Tamandua tetradactyla: one gene and its partners. The protein of the gene in region 4 interacts with the protein of the main gene of each other region in a pairwise test. Links are inferred from orthologs where the notes say so. Each region holds a gene or a part of one and is shown on either strand. Other genes may lie near its edges. The genes, in order: CEP70, BYSL, LUZP4 and EMD.

What was found.
Region 1: the proteins of EMD (region 4) and CEP70 interact in binary tests that used the Homo sapiens proteins (3 or more experiments, as listed by UniProt). The two-hybrid records come from large-scale screens. The link is inferred for Tamandua tetradactyla from reciprocal best matches to the Homo sapiens genes EMD and CEP70.
Region 2: the proteins of EMD (region 4) and BYSL interact in binary tests that used the Homo sapiens proteins (3 or more experiments, as listed by UniProt). The two-hybrid records come from large-scale screens. The link is inferred for Tamandua tetradactyla from reciprocal best matches to the Homo sapiens genes EMD and BYSL.
Region 3: the proteins of EMD (region 4) and LUZP4 interact in binary tests that used the Homo sapiens proteins (3 or more experiments, as listed by UniProt). The two-hybrid records come from large-scale screens. The link is inferred for Tamandua tetradactyla from reciprocal best matches to the Homo sapiens genes EMD and LUZP4.

The regions. Positions count from the first base shown.
Region 1 is NC_135341.1:82,637,425-82,645,334, reverse strand, and holds the start of CEP70 (centrosomal protein of 70 kDa), read left to right. Parts: upstream 1-4,897; 5' UTR 4,898-4,978; intron 4,979-6,892; exon of another isoform or gene 6,893-7,002; intron 7,003-7,910.
Region 2 is NC_135331.1:99,516,766-99,524,340, reverse strand, and holds the start of BYSL (bystin), read right to left. Parts: upstream 3,018-7,575; 5' UTR 2,669-3,017; coding exon 2,404-2,668; intron 1-2,403. Other genes in the region: MED20 (mediator of RNA polymerase II transcription subunit 20), read left to right, coding at 3,221-3,234, 5,725-5,879. UniProt on the Homo sapiens protein: Required for processing of 20S pre-rRNA precursor and biogenesis of 40S ribosomal subunits. May be required for trophinin-dependent regulation of cell adhesion during implantation of human embryos.
Region 3 is NC_135353.1:53,552,829-53,560,203, forward strand, and holds the start of LUZP4 (leucine zipper protein 4), read right to left. Parts: upstream 3,001-7,375; 5' UTR 2,973-3,000; coding exon 2,882-2,972; intron 1-2,881. UniProt on the Homo sapiens protein: Export adapter involved in mRNA nuclear export in cancer cells. Binds and enhances the RNA-binding activity of the nuclear RNA export factor NXF1. Can restore mRNA export function in cells compromised by loss of mRNA export adapters.
Region 4 is NC_135353.1:6,569,389-6,575,839, reverse strand, and holds EMD (emerin), read left to right. Parts: upstream 1-3,948; 5' UTR 3,949-4,110; coding exon 4,111-4,192; intron 4,193-4,282; coding exon 4,283-4,393; intron 4,394-4,570; coding exon 4,571-4,648; intron 4,649-4,880; coding exon 4,881-5,014; intron 5,015-5,379; coding exon 5,380-5,429; intron 5,430-5,539; coding exon 5,540-5,873; 3' UTR 5,874-5,947; downstream 5,948-6,451. UniProt on the Homo sapiens protein: Stabilizes and promotes the formation of a nuclear actin cortical network. Stimulates actin polymerization in vitro by binding and stabilizing the pointed end of growing filaments. Inhibits beta-catenin activity by preventing its accumulation in the nucleus.

The DNA of each region.
Region 1 (7,910 bases), on a different chromosome or scaffold from region 4:
TTCCACTATGGATTTATTTCTTAAATCTGTCTAGAGTTCATTTCAAGTATTATAGCAAACGGGAGCTGGAAGAGACCTAAGAGATCCTCTTGGTCCCAAGTTTCTCAAATGGAGGTTCAAGAGGCCCCAAGGGTATGAGGCAGCAGGTCAGGGAATACATAAAACTCCAAGATAAAGATAAACATGATGCATCTTCTGGAAGCATCAATGTTACACAATGGTAACCAATTTAAAATTCAATCATTATTTTAATTTTAGAAGGCTATATTATGGTGGAATATATTTTAAATTTTTTCCTTTTTTAAAGATAACTTGGAAGAAACGTTGAGTTTGCAGGTAACAGCCAGGGATATGCTAGTTCACTTTCTGAGTGTGAAAGGCATAGGCCCATGCAATCCACTTAATTACCGGTGCCAATAATGAATCTACAAGTTATGTGGCTAGCAAGGCCCAGGACAGAACTGGAGCCCAATATTCATGTGCAATTAACTAAACAGTAATTGAATTGCAGTGCTAATTGTGTTTTGCTAAAATCAGATGCACACACATATGTGGACAAGAAACCTTCCATGTTTGAAGATTTGGGATTAACAGTTCCACCCCTACAATAGGTTCAACTCTTCTTTGCTTCCCAGGTCTGCCCCTAGCCCAGCTCTCTCCTTAAGCGCCTTGCAAAAGTTGCCCAAGGAATCTCTTGGTTAAAAATGAGATTATGCAAATTGTCTTTGGTTGGAAACTGCTAGAAGCAACCAGTTGTTAAAAACATATTAAAGAAGCAGCAATTTAAAAGGCATAGAAAGGCTAAGAATTTTTAAAAGAACATGAGGTAGATTAAAAACACTGTACCTAAAATAAATCCCTCTTTTTCTTATTACCATGGTACAAATTTGTGGATTTATCTAGTTTTAAGAAACCCTACATATCTCTACGAAAAGTGGAGGGTGTCCTATAATGATAAAAGCAAGGAGAATATATAGCAATAGAGTAAGCCAAGCAAATTAATGTAAATTTTGATAAGGCATCCTTTGTAAATCAAAGTAGGCTTGGAGATATCATTCAAGTTTTCCTCTACAACTTTCAAAGACACTAGAAAGTTCAGTGATGCGGCATACAAACCTAAAAGAATTGCCCAGCTTTCCACTATAAGACACTTCAAATATTACTAAATCACACTAAGATATGGCATGGTACCATCCTAATTATAATAACTTTTCATATAGATGTATAAAAGATAACATGCAATCAAATTGGAAGTAAGATTAGAAATCAAGAACACATTTTTAAAAAAAGTTTTCCCTAAACTATCAACATATTGAAGTTATTTATCTAAAAGATAGTAATTTTTCATTTTCCAATAATTGCTAGTGGACACTATAGGTGAGAACTACATGCAATGGTCAGAGGAAAGGTTGGTGGAATCCAACGCTGCTTAGAATACTGTATATATCAAAAGCAATGTTCTTCTTACACACACATTCACAGGAAAATTACACAATTATGTTACTCTCCTTGCTTGTTTTTCTATAGACCCATTTAAATAAGAAAAGGTTGCTTTAATGTAGCCAGTAATATTTCAATTTTTCTTGTTCATGTTATCTGCTATTTTAAGAAAAAGACTAAAATATTTTCATAATTATTCCTGAGAACCTTAATAGCATATTTGGCTTATAAAAGGCAGCAGTCATGGGCAAGCAGTGGTGGCTCAGTGGCAGGGTTCTCGCCTGCCATGCCGGAGACCTGGGTTTGATTCCCGGTACCAGCCCATGCAAAAAAAAAAAATCACTAAAAGGCAGCAATGCTCCAAATTTTGTACCATTTCAAGGGCAGAGATTGGCTGAAAAAAAGTGATTTCTATACAAGGATTAAAGTGAGCACTATTTTACAACAGCCACAATCAAAATATTAGTTACACAATTTTCAGCTTTACAAGAAAAAAAAAAAAAAACTCTATGAGATCATCTACTCCCAGCCCGCTCCCTCATTATGGGAAAATCAAAGTAATAAGACATCCCTCCAAATGTCACCCCCAACCACAGAGACCTAGCTTTTACTATTTATCCAGCTCCCTAACAAGGCTGTTGAGGTCCCAATAATGTGTATGGAGCAAAAAAAATGTCCACATAATCTCACCATAAAGAATATCCGAATATCCCCTACCAATAAATTTCATTAATTGTATGGGGAAAATGTACAAAATGAACTCTGCCTTTTGCTTTTGGTCTTCTCTCTTATTGCAGAAGTTTTGCTGGTTTTGTGACCTCTGTCACTTCACATATTTCATTTCAAACTGTATATATATCCTCTAAAATACTGAGCACTTTTAAATTTACTTGGAATTGCTCCACTGGATCATAAGTAGGGGAGCCCATGTACAACACATTCTTAATAGCCATAAAGGTAAATGATTAAAAGACTGATGTGTTTTTTGGCTACTCAAATGAGGGGGAAAATTAAAAATCATTGGTCAGCATCAAATGCATATAAAAGAATGCGGTGAGTCTTTTAGTGAAACTTGAGATAAAATTGAGATTTAGGCTAAAGGTCTGAAACAAAGTAAATGTGAATAATATGAATATGAATAATTATTCCAAAACCTCAACAGGCACTAAAGCACAGAGATCAATATTTACTTAGATTTTAAAATACTTTGAGCCATCTACTGAGTTTTCATTTTTGAGAGTGTCTTCAGAAAAAAAGGTACCTTAAATCCTCTATAACTGGCAACTTCTCTGGATGGCCTGCATGAATCAATACATGAATAACTATCTACCTGAGCAAAATATAATCCACTCATTCAAAAATAGTTACTAAATGCCTACTTAGTGTCCTGAAAGCACTGCAAAGCCAACCAACCACACCCTTTAAAAAACGGTTTTGTATGATTTGAAGGAGCAGCTATGCTCTGCCTATTTACTCAAGGGAGGTGTACTTTCACAACCAGTTTCCTTACAGTAAATATCCAGTATTCAGTTTTTCCCAGTCAACAAACATTTATTTGAGCCCACTATTAAAAAACACTATACTAGGTGCTGTCAGTGATTTGAAAATAAGCCTCTGTCCCTAACGAATGTATTCGCTTCAATTAGTTTTCAGTCACCACAAGGACCAGATGCCCTGCCCTGAAGTTTGCTGAATGTGATTATTATACCTATAGGGAAGGGATGATCACAACTCTCCTTGTCCTTGATTTCTACTATAGTCATATGAATATTGAGAAATACCTATTAAAAGTTGCACAAAGAGTTGTGAGTTACAAATCCGATTTAAAAGCACAGGTCATATTTTAAATTCATCCAGCATAGTGATAGTTATTGGACATTTATGTCCTAGGCACGGAGCTCAGAGGAAACAGACGCAGGCTCTGGGAAACCAACGGAGGATCACAAGAAGGAGCCTACAGAAGGTTCTATTCCAGCCAAACCTGCAGGACAGCCAGGGTAGGCTTTGGTTTAAAACTAGGGGAAATGGATTAATCCACTATCATTTTTTAGCTCGTATTCATATGCTTAATTTTCAGGTATGTGACCAAATAGGAAAATTATAAACCACAATTTCCCCCTCTATTTTAGGAAACAGATTTAAAAACATATATGAAGAGGATGGAAAAACAAATTGCTTTCACTGATGGGGAAGATGTTACTTGAAACTTTTCATATGTCTTCAAAGAAAGCTTTTTCAATGTCTACTTACCCATCTGCATAATTTTAAAAAATCCCTTTCCTGCATAACCCAATACCCCTGTTTTGGAGCAGCATTTCAACCACTGAGCCGTTTCCACTGCTTATCCACCCTACCCTGAATTTTACCTTGACTTAGGTTTAACTGTACTGGGGCTGCAGTGGTTTGTCCAAGATAAACCTAAGGCAGTTAAAAAAAAAAGTCACTGATAAAAATGTTCAGTTCCCTTTTCAGGAACAGCTCCGGGTAAGGCCAGTTAGTCACGAGGGGATGCTCAGTGATTTTTCATTCTGAGAAAACTAAGGCCCTCCAACCAAGCCGGCCGCAAGCTCCTTGGACCAGGTATTCCCAAATGCTACCAGATGTGCAGATCCGGGAATATTTTTTTCTTAGGGCCATTTTGCAATGTACGCCTTAAGATTTATGACGGAGTCATTCTAAATAAATAATCATGCTATAAATTAAACAAAAAGCAGGGAACAGTGCTCAACGAACTGCTTTTCTTTTCCTTTTTTTTAATAGCTGAAAATGGAAAAACACCTGTTCGTTCACCCTCAGCGACTCCATTAGGGAGGCCGCGGGCCAGTCCCTCCACAAACCCGACGGCCCCGGGCGGGCCGCGGCGTCCAGCTGGCCCCCACGAGCGCCCAGCAGCACCCCCGTGAAAGGGTGCGGAGAGCAGTCACACCAGGGTGGCCGTGCGCCATGCAGCGGTGAGAGAAGCCACCCAGGTTCTGCAAGAACAAACTGCTCAGCTGACGGGGAAAACGCGCTGCAAGGAAAAGCCCCTTAAGGTCTACCGCGTCGCCGCGGGGAAGCAGGAGTTCCGCCGCGGAGCTTGTCCCCTGAGCTGTCCGCTCCACTCTTTCACGGCGACAAGCATCAAAGTCTGAGCTAAGAGGCCAGAGGCTGGGCCGGCCCCGGGCAGGGCCACTCGGGCAGGGCCGGCCTCGCCGCGCCTCCGCCCCCAGGGAGCGGGCAGCCGGGGGCGCCCGGGGCCTCGGCGGGGCTGACCCAGGGCGCCCGGACACTCCACGCGGCCCGCGCCTCTCCGGCAGGGGCTCGCCGGCCCCCGCGTGGACGACGCCTGCTGCTCCGGGATACCCGCCCGCCGCCGGGCCCTGGCCGCCGCCGCAGCGGACCCGCCCGGGTCTGGGGCCCGCTCCCCGCCCGGCTCACCTGACGCCGTGGGCTGCGCCGAGCACCGCGGTGGGTCCGACAGCGCCGCTTGGGCCGCGCGGCCTCCTCCCTCGCCGAGCACTAGACGCAGCGCGCGCCCAGGCCGAAAGCTCGGCGGACGGTGAGTCCCAAAGGCGCCGACCGTTTGTCGCGCTCCAGGTCCCCCGGGACGCGCAGCGCAGACCGCCCCCTCCGCCCCGCGCGACCGCCCGCGCCCCCACCCCCGGCTTCGCCCTCCCGGCACAGGCCCTTCTCCAGTCCCCAACCCAAACAGGGCCCGGGTCCGCAGCGAATCCAGTCGGCCTGCCAACAGGTAGTGCAGGAGCCAGCCGTGTGCCAGGCCTGAGCGGGACCCTGGGCTGCCTCTGGGGCAAAACAGACCCGCCAGGGCTGTCAGGTTTCCCTTTAAGGCAGGGAAACCCGATCCTGGATGGAATTCGCTCCTTAAAACCTTTTTATGGACCCCTGTTGTTTCTTCAGTTTAAAAGCCGAAACTACTTAAGGTGGACTTGTGCGAGCTAGCTCATGCCCACGTGGCTTCTAAAGATCCTCAAAAGCTGCTCCATCCTTGTCACCCCAGGGTCTCCGCAGCTGCTCTTCACTCTGCCGGGACGCTCCTCCCCGTCTCTTTCCCCGCTTAACTTCCATTTTGTTGCGATTCCTCTAAAGATGTAATTTCTTAAGAAAATCTATCCCAGCCCCTAAAACTTGCAGTACTTGGAATTCTTCCTAGTCCCTTTCAGGGTATACCTGTTTGTGTAATTTCTGCTTAATGTGTGACTTAATGATAGACAGTGGCGTCGATGAGGATAGAGAGCATGGCTGCTTGGCTCTCACACGTGGTTGCCCCCACCTGCACAGGGGAGGGTCATGGTAGGCTCTGCTAAATACTTGCTGCATGAATGAACAGCAGGCCTGGGTGAGGTTTTAGGTGGCCCTGATTTTCATTTTAATAAGGAGACAGTGTCACTTGTAGAGGGTGAGGAGAGTTGTTGAGTGGGCCACCAGAAAGGAGCAGTGGAGATTTGGAGTGGGCCCTGTGGAGAGTGGGTCCAGCATGCGACTGGACATGCATGAAGGGATTCTGAAGGTCCAGCCATCTGGGGGGCTTGTGGTCGCAGGGCCCCATTGTAAGTTCTCACAGCCTGAGGTTAATGGAGAGGATTGTTTCACCTTTGGGACTGTCATGGTGGATGTGGTTTATATAGGTGCCAAGCAAATAGGTGAGAGAAGGGGGAGTTGAGTGACAGGAGGGATCCACCAATTGGTTCGATTAGCCAGTTTGCAAAGTAATGACTAAATTCTTAAGCAAATTTTTATAGGGATTCTACTTGGCCAGCGCTGATTTCTCCTTTGCTACCCTGTATTAATGACTGAGGACTAAAACTTTTCATATTTGTATTTTCTCTTTGAATAGAGAATTTTCAAGAAATGATTGTTTAAAGAATGAATTGGGGGGAAAGATAAAAAGATCACAGAGTGGAAATTTCCAGAGATGGATCAAGGCTGCCGAAGACATATTTCTAATTTCTCTTTTCCTAATCATTAACTCTTCTGAGAAACAACCCTGAGTCGTTGGGCTAAGACTAGGAAACCCTGGTCACTGACCAGCTCAGATATTGTTTAATGAAGGGTCATATTTTCTTATAAAACCTGAGGAATCTGGGTATCTTTTTTTGGGATGGGGGTGGGACCGTATGGTCCGGGATTTGAACCAGGGTCTCCCACCTGGAAGGCAAGCATTTTACAGCTGAACCACCCATGCACCCCATGAATCTGGGTGTCTTTTATAAGACCTATAGGTGCATTAAGCGCTTGATATATGTGCCTTGTATATCATTGTTTCTAATTTTCACAACAGCCCTCTAATATGTTTACCCCCATTTTACAGAGCACCCCCAAAGCCCTTCACAAGTTTCAGGACCAGGCCTATGGGATTTGAAAAGTTCAGGTTTACAGGGCCTGTTATTAGTTAAGTATTTATTGCACTGGAAGAAAAATACTAGTCTGTGGAGTGCAGGAGAGTTCAGCTTACCTGTGTAGGTGCACCTGAGTCTGCACCAACAGTCAGAAAGGCAGGCTGTGAGTCCTCAGCGGGTTTGTTTTGTGCCACTGTTTCCTCTTTGGGTTTGGTTTCTGGGATACCTGGAATTGGAGGAACATACCACTTTTGGCTGAGTTTTCCCCTACTCATTCTCTGGGCTGAGGACATCTGAATTAGGAACAGTCACTGGCTACCTGTCACAACTGTAATGGAAAGAAAGCCTGAACAAAACCACTGTGAAAGTTTTGAACTTGAATAAGAAATTTATTCATTTAGGCTAATCCTGCATTTGACTTTATTCTTACTCTCTGATTGTGCTTTTTTGTTCCCCAGGAAGATGCTACTCGAACCTCATACATGGTGCCCCCCCAGCTTGCCCTTAGGACACCGCTAATTTAAGAGGGCAGCTGAAAAAACACTTTCACTCACAGTTGCCCTTGTTTTCACTGGGCCTCCTTTTGTAAAAGAAATGGTTAATGCAGTGACAGATTTTCTGAACTAACTTCTCAGCATTAATGGATACCCCCCCAAAAAGAAAAGTTGCATACATCTTTACCTATAAATTTTTCCATGGGCCCTTCCAGTCCTGGTCCAGCATAACTACTGGGCATGTGTTAAAGGAGGAGGATCAGTGCTTTAGAAACCAACCCAGGACCCAGATATTCTGGCTGCTGGGCCAGCCTCAGAGGGTCGCGTGTCAGAACCAGCGCCAGAAACTGTGGTCTCCTGCTGCTGGCCGGGCTGCTGCTGCTCAGACATCGTCCTGAGTACAGGGAGTCCCTGCTCAGTCTACACAAACAGAAAGTAAAGCAGCAGCACAGCCAGGCCTCAATGTGGAGCTTCAGACACGAAAACCTGGACAACACCAGGAGAGACCAGATTTTGATCTGTTATCTTGAAAGTGGGATTTGTAAGGAGGACAATTCAGACTCATGTTCCAATTGAACAAAACTATTTTTTTAAATCGTCTTTATTTTATTCTGAGAAACATTAAAGATACCAAAAAAAT
Region 2 (7,575 bases), on a different chromosome or scaffold from region 4:
ACTGAATGAAGCTGCATGTGGAAATGATAGAGGGAGGAGGGCTGGGGACATAAATGAAATCAGAAAGAAAGATAGATGTTAAAGATTGAGATAGTATAATCTAGGAATGCCTAGAGTGTATAACAATAGTGAAATGTACAATGTACAAATTTTAAAAATGTTTTTGCATGAGGAAGAATAAAGGAATGTCATTATTGCAGGGTGCTGAAAATAGATGGTAATTAATATTTTAAAATGTCACTTTACGTGTGAGACTAAAGCAAAAAATGTTTATTTGTTACAAAATTTATATCTTGACTAGAGCATTTCCTAATATAACTTATGTAGATAGTTTGATTGAACGTCATAAGTACTTGGAATCTCAGGTAGGATGTGAGATTTTGTTGGTTTGTCCAGAGTGATGCCCCGATGAATCCCAGAGTGATTTGATCAGTGAGTGGAAAAGTATTTTCAAGCCCCCTTCGGGGAATGGTGAGAGCAGGGAGAAATTCAACCTCCCCAAGTCGAATTTTTGATCTTCTCACAAGCAGTGTGGACAACCAAAGCTGTAGCCTGAGCCCCCAGTCTTGGGGTTTGTTCATATGAAACTTAACCCCACACAAAGGATAGGTCAAGTCTACTTAAAATTTAGGCCTAAGAGTCACCCCCAAGAGAGCCTCTTTTGTTGCTCAGATGTGGCCTCTCCCTCCAGCCAACATGACGAGCAGTCTCACCACCCTCCCCCTCTCTGCGTGGGACATGAATCCCAGGGGTGTGGACCTTCCTGGCAACGTGGGACTGATTCGATTGTGTTAGGTAGTGGCAAGAAATAGGGCTACAATGGTAAATTGAAGCCAGACTGTGGAGAGTCTTAAGAGGTGAGGCAGTGGAGTTATTTCAATCCAACAACCAATTTGAGTAACTGATTTTTTGAAGACTAGAGGTTGGTGGGCATCTGGGAGGAGGGGTACTAATCCAATCGAGGAGAGAAAATACTACATAGGAACAGATCATTAAGAACAGAGCATTGTGTGATGAAAGAACTAAAATTAGGGTGGGGGGAGGGGGAATACACAAATATTTTGTTCTCACATGTCAACAACTTCCAAATCCATACTTTCTTCTTAGATCCAGATGCTAACTCCAGGCTTCTCCTGTACCCTCCTTAGATGACCCAGGCACTTCATCTGTCACCAAGTGAACTCATTCTTTTCCCCAAGACTGCACCACTTACTGTGGTGACTACCTCCCAGCCCTGCCTTGTCCATATTCTCAGCCTGCAAACCCAATCAATTACGAAGTCCTATTCGATTCTACCTCATGGAGTATCTCTCAAATCCTTCACAGCCCTTTCTAAACCTAGACCAGCATCATTTCTTGCTAGATTCATTCACCAATCCCTTAACTAGTCTCCATGCTACTGACCTTGCTTTCTTTCAACAAATTCTCTACTCTACAGCCAATCTAAACTTCTGGAACCACACATTTGGTCTGATCAATGTTAGATAGCTTTAAATCTTGGTATGGCCTCCAGGTCTACAAAAGCTCCTATGTACCTCACCATCCTTCTTTAATCAATTCATTCAGCAAACATTGATGCCTCCTATATGTAGGGCACTGTTCAGGATACTGGGAATACATCAGTGAACAAGAGAAACAAATTTCTGTCCTCGTAGAATCTCTGGTACATTTTAACTGGGGGACACAGATCATAAATAAACATAACAAATCAATACACTGGGTCAAAAGAAGACAACTGGAATGGAAAAAAAAAATGAGACAAAGGAGCGCTGCTAGGACTGTTGAAACTGGAATGTGGGTACTGGAATTTTAAATAGAGTGGTCAGAAAAGTCCTCTTTGAAAAGGTGAAGAATTAAGCAAGTAAGCCTGCAGGTGTATAGGAACTGAACATGCTAGGCAGAGAGAACAACCAGGGAAAAGGCCCTAATCTGCCAACTTCAAGGAACAATGAAGCTATATGGCTGGGTGGGGTGGAGTGGAGAGAGCAAGCGCAGAAAGTAGTAGAGAGGTCAGATTGGCTTTAGGGGAAAGGACAGTGTCAAACTTGTTCGTTTCTGTACCCAAATTATCCAAACTTCCTTATAAACACTTATGGAGCAAGTGGATAAATACCAGGACAATTTAATGGATAATGAGCGATCACATCCCGCTGGCCTAATTTTAGGGGCGCCTAGGACCCCTAGAATCTTACTGCCTAAAACTAGGAGTGGGCAGGGGTGGGTTGAGGTGGGGTTGGACCACCTTAAATCCGCTTCAGGGCTCGGTCTCCCATCCCATTACTTTCTAAAGAGCGTAATATGGGCACTTTTTTCAAAACTCCAAGCTTCTCCCCTGACGGACACCTTTCAGCCATTCATCCAAGTATCCACTCTCTCCCTCGCACCCCATTCCCGGCCGCTCACCCAGCCGCGCGGTGCGCTCCCTCGGCCCCATGGGCCTTTCCCCAGCGCCATGCTCGGCCTCCAGCTCCTCCTGCTGCTGCCTCGCTTGCTGCAAAATTCGTCGGGTCAGTCGGGGCCCCACATACTCTTCCTCTTCTCCGGTGCCGCGGCTCCGCCGCTTTTCCCGGGTCCCGGCCCGCACTGCGTCCCCAGCTAGGATCTGCTCGGCCAGGGGCGCAAGTTTTCCTTGACCCCCGGCTCCCCGGGCCGCCTTGAATTTGGGCATTTTTCTCGAAAAAGTGGCCGCGAACCTTCACACGTGGGGACAGAGGCGAGCAGCCGAGAGTGCGCTTGTGCAGTGAACTTCCAAAGCCTACCAGGCCGCGCGGAGAGCACAGCGCCCCCGAGTGATTGGAGGACAGAAATGCCGTCAGCGACACCCAACTCCACTCCCTAAAAGTTCGCACGGGCCCTGAATAAATTCAAATCCTGAATAAATTCTTTGCATTTAACGATGACTGCTGTAAGTGGTGGCAGTTCGAACCATGCTTTCCAAGCATCGCAGATCCAAGTCTGGGTATCCAGCCAAATAGGACGTCCATACTTCCAAGCCTGAAGCTGTCACTGGGCTGCGTGACGTCTCTGCATACGTCACGGTGAGAGCGCCCAAGCACGTCTCTGTACCCTCCTGGCGCATCCATGGGACGCTTTGTTTTTATATAACTTCCGGTGCCTTCTCCCTCGACCGAAGCTTACTTTTGGGGGCTTCATTTAATGTGGGCGGTCGGAGAGCACCGCGTTTCAGCTGTTTGAATCTGCCACCCTCTCATCCGACACCATGGGAGTGACTTGGTAAGACTGCACAGACCACTTGGGATTTTGTGAGACGGGTTTTGGGATCATGAAGTTGCCCTTGGAGCCTGACTGGACCGAGAGGTGTAGCGGGACCGGGGTTCTCCGACACCCTGAGGGAACTGAACAAAATGCCCCTGGGTTATATGGGTGAGGGGATCCCGCGAAGGTTGCAGGTTCTCGGGGTCTGTTTCTTCGGAGATAAGCTCCTTTCTCCTGGAAGGCAGCAGGTAAGATTTTTTTTGGGGGGGGGGGGGGCAGGTAGGAGTTTTTAATCCTAGGAGCCTATCAGTGGTTGTGTACCTCCTTTCCTTTTTTCTTCGTACATTTTCCTGCACCTTATGTTATGGTACTGCTAGGAGTACTTCAGCTTTGGGGATAGGATATCCGCACCAGGACCCGTCCGCAAGCAGGGCTGAAGAAAGTGGTGGTCAGGCAACGAGTAGAATGCCTTTTTTTTTTTTTTTTTAGGTCTCTCTTGCCCCTCCCTACAGCCACAAAAAGTGTTTGGTTCTACATTGGCCATTATATAAAATAAACTATTAGAAATTAGGAGATGGAGTTGCAGTTGCTTCACCTCTTCACAGGACCTGTTTCCTGCTATGTTAAATTACAAGGTTCTACTTTCTATGGGCTTTCTCTCTCTAACATGTTATAAGCCACAGTTGGAAGAAGGCAAGGTGATAGGGAAAGGCGTGGGTCTAATATTTTGGAGGTGTTAGTTACAAAATGTTAGGTTTCAGGACATTAAAAAAAAATGTCTTCAGGTGTGCACATCTTTCCTGTCAGAGAGAACTGGGGACTGGGATATCCGAAGTTAGTGGCTCTTGACTTCTCATATAACAACCTGTGGGAAATGCTTTTTCTTGTAACTCAGGCTCTTACAGGATTGTCTGATTGTGCCCTAGCTTCTCACGGTAGACCTTCGAGAGGATCTTCGAGTCCTCTGGTGTTAGGGAGATATGTGAGTGATGGGAATAAAAAGTTCACAGCACAGAGGCTTGAAATCCTGGAAACCCCTGGTCTTTCAAAAGAGAAAGCATCCAGAGAGAAAGGCCTTTCTATCTGTTGTGCTTTCTATCTTTTTCCAACTTTTTCAGAATCTTAGAACTTATCCTTGTAGCATTAGTTTTTAGGATCCTCTTCTGTGTAAAATTAAGTCACATCACTATTATATAACCGTGCTTTTTCTGAGAGATAGTAGTGACAATTTTTAGCGGCAGTAGGACTCTAACTTATTAGCTTCGTTTAATCGATTGATCATAAAGTAATGCATTGTCTACCAAAGTACAGGCATATGATTGTCTTCATGATTTTTGCCATAGCTAGTTACCAGCTATACTATTAGGTACTAATGTTTTCTTTTAAGTTTATTCCTTTAAATGTTATTTAACAGGCAACTACATCCTTAGAGAGAATGTCTGACCTTGGGCTCATTAGTTAACCTCTCTGTACCTCAGTTTACTCATTTGCAGCAAGGAGATAAATAATAACACCTCTTATAGGGTTGTTGTGAGGACTGGAAGAGTTAATTCATCTGAAGTCCCCATTTTAGAGTTAATTCACCTGAAGTACACTGTCTGGCACATGGTAGGTACTTGTTATCTATTACTCTAAAGGGGAAGCCAGTTTCACTCACCCTCAAGTAGAAGGAAATCTTGGAAATAACATGTTTCGTTTTCCTGCATTATTAAATTCTTGTAGATGCCACTGCCTCCCACTCCCAAAGATTATAAATTTGAACTCTGCTTTCTGTTTGTTCAAGGCTGTCAAATAGAACTTTCTGAGATGATAGAAATTTTCCATATCAACATTTTCCACTATGCACTTGTGGCTATTGATCCCCTGAAATCTGGGCAGTGCTACTGAGGAGCTGAATATTTCATTTAATTTGTTTTATTAATTTAAATAGCCAGATGTGGCTAATTGTTACTCTACTGAAGAACATAAGTTGAAAGTGTTAGAGTTAGTAAAAATGTACTAAATCGGGCTGGCCACGGTGGCTCAGCAGGCAAGGATGCTTGCCTGCCATGCCAGAGGACCCGGGTTCGATTCCTGGTGCCTGCCCATGTAAAAAAAAAAAAAAAGAAAAAAGTACTAAATCAAATTGAGACTTTCTCCTTGATATATTTAGAACTGAAAAAAATTACTAAGGGAATCTCTTGTTTTATGTGATTCAGTGTTATTGAATACTCAGCCTAACATCTCTTGCATGATGGCACAGTTAACATCAGTAGATGTTGGTGTGATGGGAAGTTCACTGTACTGGTACATGAGTCCTGAAACCTGTGCTGTAGTTCCTAGAGGAACTCTCAGAGACTGTGGGCCTCTGTTTCTTCATCTTTAAAATTAAGAGTCACGTGAGTGGAGTGGTCTCTAAAGTAACTCCTGATGACTTGTGATGCTGTGAGTGAGCAGTTGGCTTGTTGAATGGCTATACTAGTGCATGTGTGTTTCTGGATGCTAATGATTTGGTCCTTTTCCTTCCAGTGTGTCCCAGATGCCTGTGGCTGAGGGCAAGAGTGTCCAGCAGACTGTGGAGCTCCTCACCCGGAAATTGGAGATGCTTGGAGCAGAGAAACAAGGAACATTTTGTGTGGACTGTGAGACCTACCATACGGCGGCTTCCACCCTTGGCAGCCAAGGTCAGTGGGATTGCACTGTAGGATGGCTGCAACCTGGCTTGGCGTTGATGGACATTCATGTTCACTAAAGTCTTTCTGATCTAGTTGTGTTTCTGAATTCTTTAAGTTGTTGTTTCTTCATCTGTTAGACTGGAGCTATTTTGTTTTCTTTTTGGGAACTTTTAAAACATTGTTTCTTTTAAAGAATTGATCATTGACCAATTGCATCAGCATCACCTGGGTTACTTGTTCCCCAAATGAACCTTATCCACTTAAAAATTTGAAAAAGATCCCTTTTTTTAGGCTCAGAAGTCTTTATAATTTTTTCTTTTTGTACTTTCTGCCTAAAGGCTTTCTGTTTCCCTCACCTAGCCAGTGGCTTTGGCCATATTAGTGTAACATTGACATTGACCAATGAATCAGCTTTTGTCTTAAATGTATCACATTGACTGGAGTGTGGATGGTAATTGTGCTGGCAGGGAGGGAAAGAGGATCTTTGAATATGAGTTAGGGAACCTGAGTTTTCTTAGTTTTGGCCCTAGCGGTAACTTGCTAAATATATACATTCTTAGATGATTTCACAACCCGGCTACTAAAAGTAGGGTTGTGGAACCAGGCCCCTAAGTCCCAACTCTGCCACTTAATAAATGTACAACTTTAAATAAGTCCCATAACCCATCTGTGGCTGTTCCTATTCCAGTGATTTGCCTATTTCCTTGTAGATTCATTCCCTGACATCTCCTGCAGTCTAAGGCACAGGAAGAAGATTGCAGAAAGGGAGACCACAAGTATTTGCCTTCCTTTCCTTATGCTTTGGACGGTGTCCCTGGCCCTAACCATGTCTCCTTGGCTCTAGCTTCTGCTAGGTAACCCCACTTCCTGGCTAGTAACAGCACATCTTCTCATTTTCCCTGCAGCCCATAGATGGTTGTGGCTTCCTGTATTGCTGTTCTCTGGGTTGCCATACCATACTTTTTACTTTTTCGGTCCTTCCAATCCCTGTATTTTGTTCCCTATGATAAATTCCCTCTGTTGAAACTACCTATTGTGGTCTTTGTTTTTGGATCTTCCCAATATGTCTTGGATTCTTCTAATGTATAAAATGAAGACAGTTAAAGTACTTATCTCCTAGTATTATTGTAGCAATTAAATAAGTTAATATATGCAAAACACTTTCAACTGAGGTTGTCATTTAATAAATTGGAGCTGATAGCTGTACAGGCTTTCATCAGTGGTGGAATTGCAATGTTTGTTTTGCCTTCAACTGGAAATATATAAGAATCAAAAGCGATAATAGTTATGAAAGCATTTGGAAAATAAGACATTTGCTTATAGATATAAGGTGGCATACTACTTCTAGTTAATCTACCTGGTATGGCCCCTGTTTTGCTGATTGGACCCTTATTTTTAAGGAAATTACAGTCTATTTGGGGAGATAGAGGACATTTGTGGCAGGTTGTGAGATAGAATGGAAAGAGCAGTAAACATTGAGTCACAAAGTTAGAGCTCTGAAGCTTTGAAAGTCAGTAGTACCCCACGTGGGAACTGTTTGAAAAGCTGAAAAATTGATCATACTTTGAGTAGAGATATGAGTGAAGCTGATCTGGGTAGGACTAAGGTATATCAGAATACAGGGTAAAGGATGATATCATCCATATTTTAAAACTTCAACATCTGTGTGAAACTAGAGGGTGAGATGCTTAGTTGGCACAAAATT
Region 3 (7,375 bases), about 47 Mb from region 4:
CATTTCTAATGTCCCAGCATTGCCTTCTCAGCTCCGCCCCATTTCTAATGTCCCAGCATTGCCGTCTCAGCTCCGCCCCATTTCTAATGTCCCAGCATTACCTTCTCAGCTCCGCCCCATTTCTAATGTCCCAGCATTACCTTCTCAGCTCCGCCCCATTTCTAATGTCCCAGCATTACCGTCTCAGCTCCGCCCCATTTCTAATGTCCCAGCATTACCGTCTCAGCTCCGCCCCATTTCTAATGTCCCAGCATTACCTTCTCAGCTCCGCCCCATTTCTAATGTCCCAGCATTGCCTTCTCAGCTCCGCCCCATTTCTAATGTCCCAGCATTGCCGTCTCAGCTCCGCCCCATTTCTAATGTCCCAGCATTGCCGTCTCAGCTCCGCCGCATTTCTAATGTCCCAGCATTGCCTTGTCAGCTCCGCCCCATTTCTAATGTCCCAGCATTGCCGTCTCAGCGCCGCCCCATTTCTAATGTCCCAGCATTGCCGTCTCAGCTCCGCCCCATTTCTAATGTCCCAGCATTGCCGTCTCAGCTCCGCCGCATTTCTAATGTCCCAGCATTGCCTTGTCAGCTCCGCCCCATTTCTAATGTCCCAGCATTGCCGTCTCAGCGCCGCCCCATTTCTAATGTCCCAGCATTGCCGTCTCAGCTCCGCCCCATTTCTAATGTCCCAGCATTGCCGTCTCAGCTCCGCCCCATTTCTAATGTCCCAGCATTGCCTTGTCAGCTCCGCCCCATTTCTAATGTCCCAGCATTGCCTTGTCAGCTCCGCCCCATTTCTAATGTCCCAGCATTGCCTTCTCAGCGCCGCCCCATTTCTAATGTCCCAGCATTGCCTTGTCAGCGCCGCCCCATTTCTAATGTCCCAGCATTGCCTTGTCAGCTCCGCCCCATTTCTAATGTCCCAGCATTGCCTTGTCAGCGCCGCCCCATTTCTAATGTCCCAGCATTGCCTTGTCAGCTCCGCCCCATTTCTAATGTCCCAGCATTGCCTTGTCAGCTCCGCCCCATTTCTAATGTCCCAGCATTGCCTTGTCAGCTCCGCCCCATTTCTAATGTCCCAGCATTGCCTTGTCAGCTCCGCCCCATTTCTAATGTCCCAGCATTGCCTTGTCAGCTCCGCCCCATTTCTAATGTCCCAGCATTGCCGTCTCAGCTCCGCCCCATTTCTAATGTCCCAGCATTGCCTTCTCAGCTCCGCCCCATTTCTAATGTCCCAGCATTGCCTTCTCAGCTCCGCCCCATTTCTAATGTCCCAGCATTGCCGTCTCAGCTCCGCCCCATTTCTAATGTCCCAGCATTACCTTCTCAGCTCCGCCCCATTTCTAATGTCCCAGCATTACCTTCTCAGCTCCGCCCCATTTCTAATGTCCCAGCATTACCGTCTCAGCTCCGCCCCATTTCTAATGTCCCAGCATTACCGTCTCAGCTCCGCCCCATTTCTAATGTCCCAGCATTACCTTCTCAGCTCCGCCCCATTTCTAATGTCCCAGCATTACCTTCTCAGCTCCGCCCCATTTCTAATGTCCCAGCATTACCGTCTCAGCTCCGCCCCATTTCTAATGTCCCAGCATTACCTTCTCAGCTCCGCCCCATTTCTAATGTCCCAGCATTACCTTCTCAGCTCCGCCCCATTTCTAATGTCCCAGCATTACCTTCTCAGCTCCGCCCCATTTCTAATGTCCCAGCATTACCGTCTCAGCTCCACCCCATTTCTAATGGACACACTTCCTGTTCATCGCCACGTGCTCTGCTCCCCCCTCCATTTCTAAGCTCTGCCCTTGTCGTTTTCGTACCTCAACACGTTCATTTCTCTGGTATACTATCACTGCTTTCCAAACTCTTCTCATTTCTAAGGTTCACCCTTCCTGCTTTTCCTTCCCTCACGACTCTGCTCCAGCCCCTCTCACGTCTAAAGTCCCTTTTGCTCTTGCCCCTCAATTCTAGTTTCTTCTTCCCCGTTCTGCTCCCTCCCCTCCCTCATTTATCTACTGTCCCTACATCCTGGGCACACATTTCTGAGCTGGCATGAGAGAAAGGCGATATTGGCTCAAGTAAAAAATATATATATATACATTTTCTGAGTGTGGTGCGAGTTGTGGGGGTTAGGGACCTTGTGTGACTTTTTTTCTTTTTTTTTTTTCTTTCTTTCTTTCTTTCTTTATTATTATTATTATTATTTTTGCTAAGGACCCACTATTGGTATAGAAGTCTGAGGTAAAACATTAAAGGGCTCTAGCAAAGACAGGTCCAGACGGAATAACTGACAGAAAACACACTACTTCGCCTGTAGTCTGCAAGCATGCTACTCTCAGGATCACTGGAGATCCCCGCAAACTAACCTCTCCTCCTGTTCCTAATCTAGATATTTATAATTTATGCTTTGACTGAGAAGAACAGAGCTTGTGACCCCGCTTGTCTGAAGAGGGCGGGAAGTTCGGTATCAATTCTTGAGAGAATTTATATATATATATATATATATATATTTTTTTAAACATGGGCAGGCACCGGGAATCGAACCCGGGTCCTCTGGCATCACAGGCAAGCATTCCTACCTGCTGAGAGACCATGGCCCGCCCAAGCTAATACATTTTGAAACGACCGTCTCATTATTCTCCCCACTGCCCTCTCCGCAGTCCCCTGCAGGTGCATGGAAAATAGCTGCTGAGAGGAGAGACCGGGGGTCGAGGTGGCCCGGGGTTTAGCTAGGACTGGCGGGGGAATGCAGACGCAAAAGCTCCTCAGCCAACGCAAAAGCCTTTCAGTTAGCGTGTGTGCCCCTCGTGGCGACACTTCTAGCCCGCCCTATGCTGAGGTATACCGCTCAAGGGCGGCAAGCCTAGATTAACACAGTGGGGCTTTAGGATCTACTTACCTAGAGACATATCTAGAAAGTTCATCTTCTTCCCAGTTTTGGGATCTATCAGCACCTTTCCAGAAAGTTTTCCGCTCGAAAACGAAGCCATCTCCTCAGGACAACTGCCCCACGCCCGAAGCTAGGGCTTACTTAGCGCCCCCTAACTGCTCCCAAGGTTTTTATCCAGGCTTTCCCCCAATCACAATCCTCGCTCTTTACTGTTGCTATGGCCCCAAGGGGTGGAGCTAGGCATATACCATTTACGGGTTCTCCTGTCCGGAAGTTGGCACTCCAGTAAAACAAACAAACAAACAAATAAATAAAAAGACCCACCTATCTCTTTTTCATCCTTTATAAAACTTTCTCTTCTCATGTACAAGCACCTCTCAGCCAGCCACAAGTTTGTTTTTTTCTGGATATGTTGACCCTAAATTTCCATAGTTCTTAGAAGGAACCATTTCTTCTCTTTGCTTTTGCCATTCCTGGAGCATAAACCACTATGTTGTTGACTTACTGGGTTGCATCGCACACTGGAAGGGCTAACACAAATTTAGCAAATAGGTTACATCCACAGGCGGGCCACGGTGGCTCAGCAGGCAAGAATGTTTGCCTGCCATGCAAGAGGACCCGGGTTCAATTCCCGGTGCCTGCCTATATATTATTAAAAAAAAAAAAAAAAAAAAAACCAACATTTTTTTAATTTGTGAAATATAACATATATGTAAGAAATCAATCAATTTCCAAGTACGTTTTAACCAGTAGTTATAGTACAGATTTTATGGTTTGGTATGTGTTACCATTCCATGATTTTTCTTTCTTTTTTTTTCTTCTAGCTGCTCTGAGACACTGGAGACCAACATAAATATCAAAATAATGATTCCGCAGTCATACTGATTTGTTAAATCCTATTCTCTGGGTAATACCCCTCTTTCTCTTTAAATAACATATATACATAAAAGAAATAAATTTCAAAGTACATTGCAACAACTAGTAGAACAGATTTCAGATTTTGGCATAGATTACAATTTCACAGTTTAAGGTTTTTATTTCTAGCTGTTCTAAGGTATTGGAGGCTAAAAGAAATATCAGCATGATGATTCAGCACTCATATGTTAAACCTGACCTTCTCTGTATGACTCCACCATCATCTTTGATCCTTCTCCCACTCTTTGGGGGTATTTGGGCCATTCCTATTCTAACTTTTTCATGTTGGAAGGGGCTGTTGATAATATGGAATAGGGGGATATAACAAGTTGGTGTTCTGGAAAGGCTGGCCTCTCTGCATTTCAGGACTTAACCATATGTGTATATTTTAAATTGTGTTTTTTGTTATTGTGAAATATAACATATATACAAAAAAGCGGTAACTTTCCGAGTACATTTTAACAGGTAGTCATAGAACAGATTTTAAGGTATGGTATGGGTTACAGTTCCATGATTTTTCTTTTTTCTTCTAGCTTTTCAAGACACTGGAGACCAACAGAAATATCAATATAATGATTCAGCAGTCACACTCATTTGTTAAATCCTATCTTCTCTGTTATACTCCTCCTTCTCTTTAAATAACATATATACATTGAAGCAATAAATTTGAAAGTACATCACAACTATTAATTGTAGAACAAATTTCAGAGCTTGGTATGGGTTTACAATTACACGATTTTAGGTTTTTATCTCTAGTTGCTCTAAGGTACTAGAGCATCATACTCATTTGTTATACCTGACCTTCTCTGTGTAACTCCACACCACCTCTGATCTTTCTATAACTCTTTAGGGGTATTTGGACTATACCATTCTAACGTTTTCATGCTAGAAGGAGCTGTCAGTACTATGTGATAGGGGGATGGAACTAGTTGATGTTCTGGAAAGTCTGGTCCCTCTGCATTTCAGGACTTATTTGGTCCAGGGACCCTTCTGGAGGTTGTAGGCTTTGGAGAGTTACCCTAGTGCATGGAACCTTTGTAGGATCTTATGTAATGCTCTAGGTATTCTTTAAGATTGGCAGGAATGGTTTTGTTGGGGTTTGACAAGTTACAATAGGTAGCAATGTCTAACTGAAGCATATGTCAGAGTGATGTTCAGTGTAGCCTCTCGACTCTATCTGAACTCTCTCAGCCACTGTTACCTTATTTGTTACACTTCTTTTCCCCCTTTTGGTCACGATGGCATTGTTGATCCAATGGTGCCCAGACCAGTGTGCCACAAGATTTTAATGACTTCCCTTAACATGTGTCCATGGCATTTCTTAAGAAAAATGGAATTGTTCTGATTATCATGTCAATACTGCTCAATATATATTATTTTAAAATGTTAGAGGAATCCTATGGTTGTCATTGGTCTGTCAGAGGAAATAACAATCAAAATAGGATGAATGTGCTGGTGTGAGACATTCCAGGGTTTCATTACCCCACAGAATCTAAGAATAACTAGCAAAAACTGGCAAAGCCATCTTCCTCAGATTTCTGGAAAACATTTAAAGAGTTGCTGTAACTTGGAAAGCACCTAATTAAAAAAAAAAAAGACAAGAAAATCAGTAGGAAAAACTTCTGGTGCCCTTGCTAGGCCCTCACTTCTCCCCAGCTAAGTGGAGAGCTGCCTTCTCTCAGTTAGGTCCCTGGTCCTGATCTTAAGGGAGCAGAGTAATCCCTATGTGCATACTGGGGTTCCATATGTCTATGCCTGTTTAGCTCGTGGCAGCATGGGGACTGACGCTAAAGCAAGGCACTCATCTCTGGCCTGCAATCCCAGAACTTGCCCTGCATGCAGAAGCAGCTTATAGACAGCGAAATCTGTGTAAAAAATAATCCAAAGAAAAATAAAATTACTATTTTCTGGGAAAAAGATTTTCAGCTTTAAGGCATACAACAGAAACCCGGGGCTTGGAAAGTCCATTTAATAGCAATAAGAAGGCGCATTAAGATACCTGTAAATAGGGGAAGTCCTAAGACTACCAGCACATACCCCAGGCAAGAAATAAACACAGAAGAATCAAGACAGGACCCTGTACTTTCCCCTGCAGCTTATTACCAGGTTAATTGGTAGGAGAATTAAGCAGGAAAGGAGAGCACCAGCCCAAATCAAGCCAATTTGCAAAACTCTAAAAGGTTTTTTTGTATTTGATTTTTTTGCTTTTGTTAGTTTCTGGCATTCAAGGAAATCTCTGTCATATCATTAGCTGGAATACACTTAAGGATAAATAGCTCAGAAAATAAATTTCAGAGTAACACATTAACATATTAAAGTGAACTGTATGTGAAAAGATCACAAGGCACAAAAAGAAGCAGGAAATGGAAGCTCATTAAAAGAAACAAGATGACATATCAGAACCCATTAACACAGAATGACAGGCTTTTAGCCATAACAGAAACACATTTTAAAAAATGATCTTAACTATGTGGGACATGACACCCAGGGATGAAAGTCTCCCTGGCAGAGTGGGAGGTGACTCCCAGGGATGAGTCCAGCCTTGGCACTGTGGAATCAACAATTCCATCCTGACCAAAAGGAGGAAAAGAAATGTAACTAATAAGGAACCAGTGGCAGAGAGAGTTGAAATAGAGTTGAGAGTATACTCTGGAGGTTGCTCTTAAACAAGCTTTAGTTAGACCTTGCTACCTATCATAACCTGCCAAACTCCACCCAGGACCATTCCAGCCAATCCTAAAGAACACCTAGGGCAATATATAAGATTCCAAAAGGGTTCCATGCACTAGAGGAACTTTGCAGAAACCTACAACCTCCAGATGGGTCGCTTGTCCAGATATGTCCTGAAACTTAGCCCAGCCTCTCCAGAACATCAGATAGTTCCATCTGCCTAGCCCATATTACTGACAGACCCTTTCAATGTGAAAAAGTTAGAATGGGCATATTCCCAAACACCACTAAAGAGAGGAATAGAGAGATCAAAGGTGATGCTAGAGTTATACAGAGAAGTTAGGATTTAATAAATGAATATGACTGCTAAATCATTAAGTTGATATCTCTTTGAGTTTCCAATATTTTAGAGCAGCTAGAAGTAAAAAGCTTAAATTGTGGAATTGTAACCCATATCAAACTCTGAAATATGTATTAAAACTAATTATTGTGTTATGCTTTGAAAGTTATTGCTTTTTTGTATATATGTTATTTTTCACAAAAAAGAAAAAAAGCAATTGTGATGATAAAAAAATATTTATTCCTTCTAGCCTCCTATATTATGGAACAGCTAGAAGGAAAAATCTGAGAGGATCATATGGTAACCCATGATAAACTCTGGGATTCATCCTGTAATAACTCGTTGAAGAGTGCTTTGAAAAGTATTGCTTTTTTCTTTCTTTGTTTTGTATATATATTATATTATACAATAAAAAATGTAAAAAAAAGTGGTCCTAAATATTATCAAGCAACTGAAGGAAAACATAGGCCAAGAAATAAATGAATTCAGGAAAACAAAGATGAACACAAAGAGAATATCAATAAAGAGATAGAAATCTTGAAAAGGAATCAAGCAAAGCTAAAGAACAGTTAATGAAA
Region 4 (6,451 bases):
CCCACCCCAGATGAGGGATGAGCTCACCACCCGGCTAGGGCCGCCAGCGCTGGGGGAGGGGGGGTGGGGGTGGGTGCTTGCTTCGAGCTCCCGCGGGGTCTGCAGGGCCCACGTCTCAGCCCAGCCCTTTAGACATCGGCTTGCTGCGTTTGGGGGAGCCAAGGGCTCCCCAGGCAGAAAGGCCCAGCTCCAAGGCCACCTCCTCCAGGAAGCCCACCCCCACTCCCCAGAGTCAGGGCCCTCTGCACCCACCATCCTCTGCTCCAGCCCGGGCTGGGAAAGCAAATCGGTTTCTGTTGCCCTGGGAGGGAAGAAGTAGGGGACGGGGTAGGTCAAAGGCAGGGGCAGGTGTCCACTGAGCATCTACTAGATGAAAGGCCTGGGGCAGAGCTGAATGGAGGGGGCAGTCTTAACAGCCACCATGTGCTTGACCCCTGTTGGGTGCCAGGCTGACCTAGGGGCGTGCAGCGGAAACCCACGGACTTCTCAGCAGTCCCCTCCTGCAGAGGGCCCGTTAGACACAGTCCCAGAGCTTGGGAGAGCGCAGGAGGGTGCAGCCAAGAGCCAAGGGTCCGTGAGCTGGGCGGGCACAGACCTGCCACACCTTCCTTTTCTCCATGCCCATTGCCTCCAAGGTGCGGTTCCACATCAAACGCCACTTTCTCTTAGGAAGTCCACATAAAGCGCTGTCTTTTTACCACATCGCCCACCATCCCATAAGGATTCCGTTTTACATCCTGAACCAGCGCGCGCACACACTAAAGAACTGAAACACATTTTCAGAAAATAAGACTTTTCTTTTGCAGCTGGACCCACAGTGCCCGGGCTGGGGTGGGGTCATGGCAGTGGGGCAACTTCACTAGGAGTGAAGATGAGCTCAGAGATCCCCAGGTCCAGAAGGGGGCTACTGGGACTCATGGCCGTGTCAGTCCATTGGGGAGGGACACCCACAGGCCAAAAGCAGGTGCCAACCAGGCTAGGAGTGCCATTGCTGGAAGGGGCGCAGGGGTGGCTCTGTGGAGTCTCCAGACTCCCACCTCCACTGGAACTCCCTCTTTACACTCACACCCCCTTCCCCAAGCCCACACTGCAAACACATGCAGCTCTTCGGCATCTCGACCTGTTCCAAGTCTGGGTGGAATGGGTTGTACAGCACTAGCTGTTCCCTGGTGAAGATCATAATCAATGAAAGCCATGGCGTGGAAGAGACAGGGAAAGCACCCGAATCACCATTCCTAACCGCCAGGGCAAGCTGCCTCTCCACCCAGCCATCCCCAGAGCATTAAGATGAGCTGATGCGTCCTAGGGCCCAGACACAATGCTTTGAATGGGCAGCTCTCCATTCAAAGTTTTATAGCGATTGTGACAATCATCGACGCATTATTTTTCACCACAATCCTCATCGCATGACTTCGTACACCATCTGAGCGATGTGTCAAGGGATTCGAAAAGCAGCTAAAACCCAAAGGATCTTGAATAGCCTGAAGAGAAAAGTTAAGGCTCGTCTCTTTTCATGTTGAACAACATTCTGATTTTAAAGAAAACATTGTTTATAGCTCAATGAATGACTGCCTCCCTGTACATGGATGCTGAGAAATGTATTCCAGTAGATATGTTTCATTGCCTATAACTTTCAAGAGTGAAAGTCTCTTCCCCTCTCTGGGCCCCTGATTCTCCACTATATAGTGTGGGGGTGGGGGATGTTGCAGAGGGCCTGTTAACTCTGATGGTCAAGGCTTCACCTAGTTACTGGTGGTCTGGGGTGGAGCTGCACTGGCAATGGGACTGGACGTGGGCTCCAGGTGCCCACTGGGTGGGCACAGGGGGACCGCCCACAGTTCAGCCTCCTGGAGTCATCTGCGGTGAGACCTTATGGGGAGGGGGCACAAAAGAGTGCTGGGGCAGGTGCCGGGGGTGGGATGGGGGACTGTGTTCCTTGGGGAGAAGGCAAACCTAGAATTCCTTGACCGCAAAAGGAAACAGCTTGGATCCGCGTGGGGAGGGGCGGCGAGGGGGGGAGGACAGAGCGGCCAGAACGGCTCTGTACACGCGGGCCTCTGGGAGAGGGGCCAGCATTGCAAAAGAAGGTTCTCGGAGGTGCTGGGGCATCTGATCTTGCCAAAACACGAAACTATGCCCAGCCTGGAGCCCAGATCACCCTCCCCTCCTCTGCTCTGCTGAGGGATCAGGAGCAGGCCCCCTGTTCTAGGGCTAGCATCTCCTCCTTCTGCAGAGAACGGTGTTGTCACAGACCCGCTTGCCTCCCCTCCATGCAGCAGGAGACAGGGCAGGGCCAGGACGGACCTTGTCTTTTCAACCCTGGGCCACGGTGACTCTTCAGAAGGGTCTCTGTCTGTGGTTCAGTCCCCACCCCCACTGGGTAAACCTCCATCCAGAACCAGTCTGTGGCCCCCACGGCTGGGCAGACCAGCCTGGGTCTGCCTGGAGCCCTCCCTCTTTATCTGCAGCCAAGACGGGTCATCCAGTAGGGCAGGTGACTCTTCTCTCCGGGCTCCCCGGGGTGCACCCCAGTTTGCCCCACACCCCATTAGGCCGGCTTTGTTTAGAAGAGGACTGCCAGCCCCTCCCCACACTCCAGCGGACAGTCTCTTTCCGAGCAAGGTCTTTATCTCCTCCCAGCCACACTCCGTGTAACCTCAGCAGGCCTCGGCAGGCTTCTGCGGTTTGCACGCCATCCACACCCCTCCTTTGGCCACCCGTCCTGCCATTGTCCCTGCAGCGGGCTCAGACCCCTCTGACAGGTCCATCTGACTCGAGAGCCAACCCCCTCCGCGGGGGGCCCTGCTAGGCCACCTCTGTCCCACTCAGCTCAAGGGCCATTCCCACAGGAGAGGAAGCCCCCCCCTCCCTCGGGGAAGGCCGGCAGGTGGGGTGGCGGGCACACGCTGTCCCAGCACGCGTCATGTCAGCGTCCCGTGCCAGTGAGTGCTAGCCGGCCCGGGCCCCTTGGAAGGCTGGTTGTCCCTGGAATGCCTGCGGCCTCCTGGCCCAGTGCCCCCTTTCCTGCGAGCGCAGGCGGGAGGGAGGTGGTGAGTGCGGGACGGGCACAGGTGCGTGGGCCAGGGAGGGGACAGGGGTCTAGGAGGTGGCGGGCCTTAGAGTCGCGGCCCTAGCTGGCGGTGGCTTCCCTCGCTTGCCGCGTGCAGAGCGCCCGGGAACAAGCCCTGCCCGGAGCCGGGGCTCTCCAAGTATCTCCGGGCCTGAGGAGCCCCTTTATCCCGAAGCCTGGGGAAGGGGACAGTGACCAGGGCGGAGGGACTGAGGCGCCTCTGCCCACGTGACTCAGGGCGCACGAGCCACTTCCAGCGCGCCGCCCTGCCCCGCTAGCCTGACCGGTTTCCGCCGGTTGGGCTCCCGAGCACGCCCCGCCCCGCTCCCATGTCTGCCCGTACACACCAGCGTGTGACGTCTTTGTTCGCAGGCTCCGCCCCTCCCTCGGGCGCGCAGTCGCACCGCCCTCCCTGATACACCCTGGCCTGCACCGCTCTGGTTCCCGCGCAGGCCCCGCCCCTCTCCCACGTCTAGCCCGGGCACGCCAGGGTGTGACGTCTTGGCTCGCCAGCCCCGCCCCACTCCCACGTCCCGGCCGGTCGGCGGGGTTTCGGCTCCCGCGGAGGCCCCGCCCCACTTCCGCTTCTAGCCCGAACATACCAGCTAGTGACGTCTGCGCTCCTCAGCCCCGCCCCGCCCCCACGTCCAGGTCCGAACGCGCCGCTTCGGCGCCCACGCAGGCCCCGCCCCCTCCCGCGCGCAGCCCGTACCCTCTCGTTTGTGAAGTCACCGCCTGCCGGCCCCGCCCGCTCTCACGTTCGGGCCCGGCTCTCCCGCCCCGGCGCCGCCCGCCCCCACTTCCAGACCGGTCTGCGCCGGCTGCGCCCCCGCGCCTCGCTCCCGACCCCCCGCCCCCCACCCGGCAGCGCGCAGGCCTGGGCCGCGGAGACGCGGTCGTGACGTGGTCGAGCGGTTGCCTCGCACCCGTCGCCGCGCTCCCAGGCTACCGTTGCCAGTCCGCGTCCCCCAGCCCGGCCTGCCTCCCAGGCCTCCGCCGCCGTCGCCGCCGCCCGCCCGAGGCCCAGGGCCGGCCTCGCCATGGACGACTACGCGGTTCTGTCGGACGCCGAGCTGGTGGCCGTGCTGCGCCAGTACAACATCCCGCACGGGCCCATCGTGGGTACGCTGCCTGCGGGCGGGCGGGCGGGCTGCGGGCGGGAGGGTGGCCTCCCTGTGCCACTGACGCGCCCCGGGCTCTGTCTGTGCCCAGGCTCCACCCGCAAGCTCTACGAGAAGAAAATCTTCGAGTACGAAACCCAGAGGCGCCGACTCTCGCCCCCGAACTCCTCCTCCTCCTCGTCGTTCTCGTATCGCTTCTCGGGTGAGCCCTTTCCTCCCCTCCCCCCAATCCCAGACCACCCAGGGCCCCTTGCCACCGGAGGGGACCCGGCTGGGGCGGCCGGGAAGCCAGGGTCCGGGCCAGGAGGGCCACCTGCGCCTGGGGGCGGGGAGACCTGAGCTCAGATGTCCCCTCGGTCCCTGCCCCCTCGGTCCCCAGACCTGGATTCAGCCTCGGTGGACTCGGATATGTACGACCTGCCCAAGAAAGAGGATGACTTGCTGTACCAGAGCAAGGGTAAGGCAGGGAGGGGTGCTGGGGGGGTGCTGGGGAGGGGGCACCCTGAGACCCTCGCCCCACTCTGCCGTGGACTCTGGTCTTAGGAGGGCCTGAGATCTCAGTTCCCACCCGGCCCTGGAGGGGAGAGATTAGTGTCACCCCCAAAGTGCAGAATTCAGGTGAGGGCCACCAGCCGGATGGGGGGGCTACTGACGGAGCCTGTGCTACCCACCCCCTGCCTCTCCTCAAGGCTACAACGACGACTACTATGAGGAGAGTTACCTGAGTACCGAGACTTATGGGGAGTCTAGTTCCGGGGGCACATCCGAGGGCTTCCGGGAGCCCCGAACCTCACTCCAGGATGCCGACACCTTTCACCAACAGGTGAGCCAGAACTTGGGCAGAACTGGATAAAGCCATGGGGTCAGGGGGTGGACATGGGGGGCTCCTTCCCAGTTCCCTGGCGTCCCAGGAGGAGTGGGGGCCAAGCAGTGCCCTGGTTGGGGGGTGGGGGCAGGGGTGTTGACACTGGTGGACCAGACCCCGCCCCAGCCAGTGCACACCTGCACCCTGGTCTGGGCTCTGGGTTTGAGCTGGTTCTCAGTCCTGGGGAACAGAGGCAGCCAGGACAGTCACTGAGCAAGTGGCAAAGCCCAGAGAGGTCTTGGAGGGCTTAGGGCCCTTAACCTTGAAGCAGCGGTTAGAGCAGGCTGGCCAGCTCTGCCCCTCACCTTGACTATCTCTTCCAGGTGCAGGATGACAACCATTTCTCCTCTTCTGAAGAGGAGAGCAAGGAGAGGTGAGCAGCGGGGAGCGCCCCAGGAGGGAAGGCTGGGCGCAGGGGGCAGGGGCGGGAGCCAATCCTGGGCCGGGTCCAGCCTGGCTTACCTGTGCCCCTCTCTGCCTCAGGGAGTGCCCCTCGTACGCCCGGGACAGCGCGTACCAGAGCATCGCGCACTACCGCCCGCTTTCGAACATGGGCAGGAACTCCCTGGGCCCGTCCTATTACCCTACATCCTCCTCCACCTCCTCAGCCTCCTCTTCCTCCTCTTCCCCACCTTCGTGGCTGACCCGCCGGGCCATCCGGCCCGAAAAGCAGGCCCCTGGGGCAGGGTTGGGGCAGGAGCGCCAGGTCCCGCTTTGGGGCCAGCTGCTCCTTTTCTTGGTCTTTGCTGCCTTCCTGGTGTTCGTTTACTACTCAATGCAGGCCGAAGAGGGCAACCCCTTTTGGATGGAGCCCTGAGGGCCTGGTTTCCTGGCCAGCTCTTCTCAGAAGACCTGGCTCAACTGCCTTAGCAGTGTTTTGGTGGGGGTGGGGGTGGGGGTGGGGGGTGGGAGCTTACCTGTGTGTTTCTATCTTTTGGGGAGCTAGGCCTGGCCCAGATCAGTGCTTTGGTCCCCTCCCCCTTCTGCCTCATCCTGCTGGGGAGGTGGCAGGCTCAGGCCTTCCTCACTTGCTGGGCCCAGCGGGGTCTCCTGGCCCTGTTTGCCTTGAACCTGTGGGGCCCTGGCAGGACCTGCCGCTGTTCCTTCCAAGGAGCACATAGCTGTTGTTTTCATGCATGCGTCCTGTTCATGTCACCACTGTGGAGGAGTCACCAGAGGCCACCCCAACTTTGTTTTCGTGGACACACAATAAAAAGACCGTTTATTTTGAAGGCATTGGCTTTTCCTGCTTGGGGGAGTGGGTCGGCAATGTGTCGGGATTCCCAGGGCACAGGGTGTCTGGATCTGGGGTCTGAAGGCTCCGTATCTGCCTTTCTTGGCTTTGCTGTCTTGCTTTTGTCGTTGGGCAAAGGGATCAGATGCTACCCATGGCTA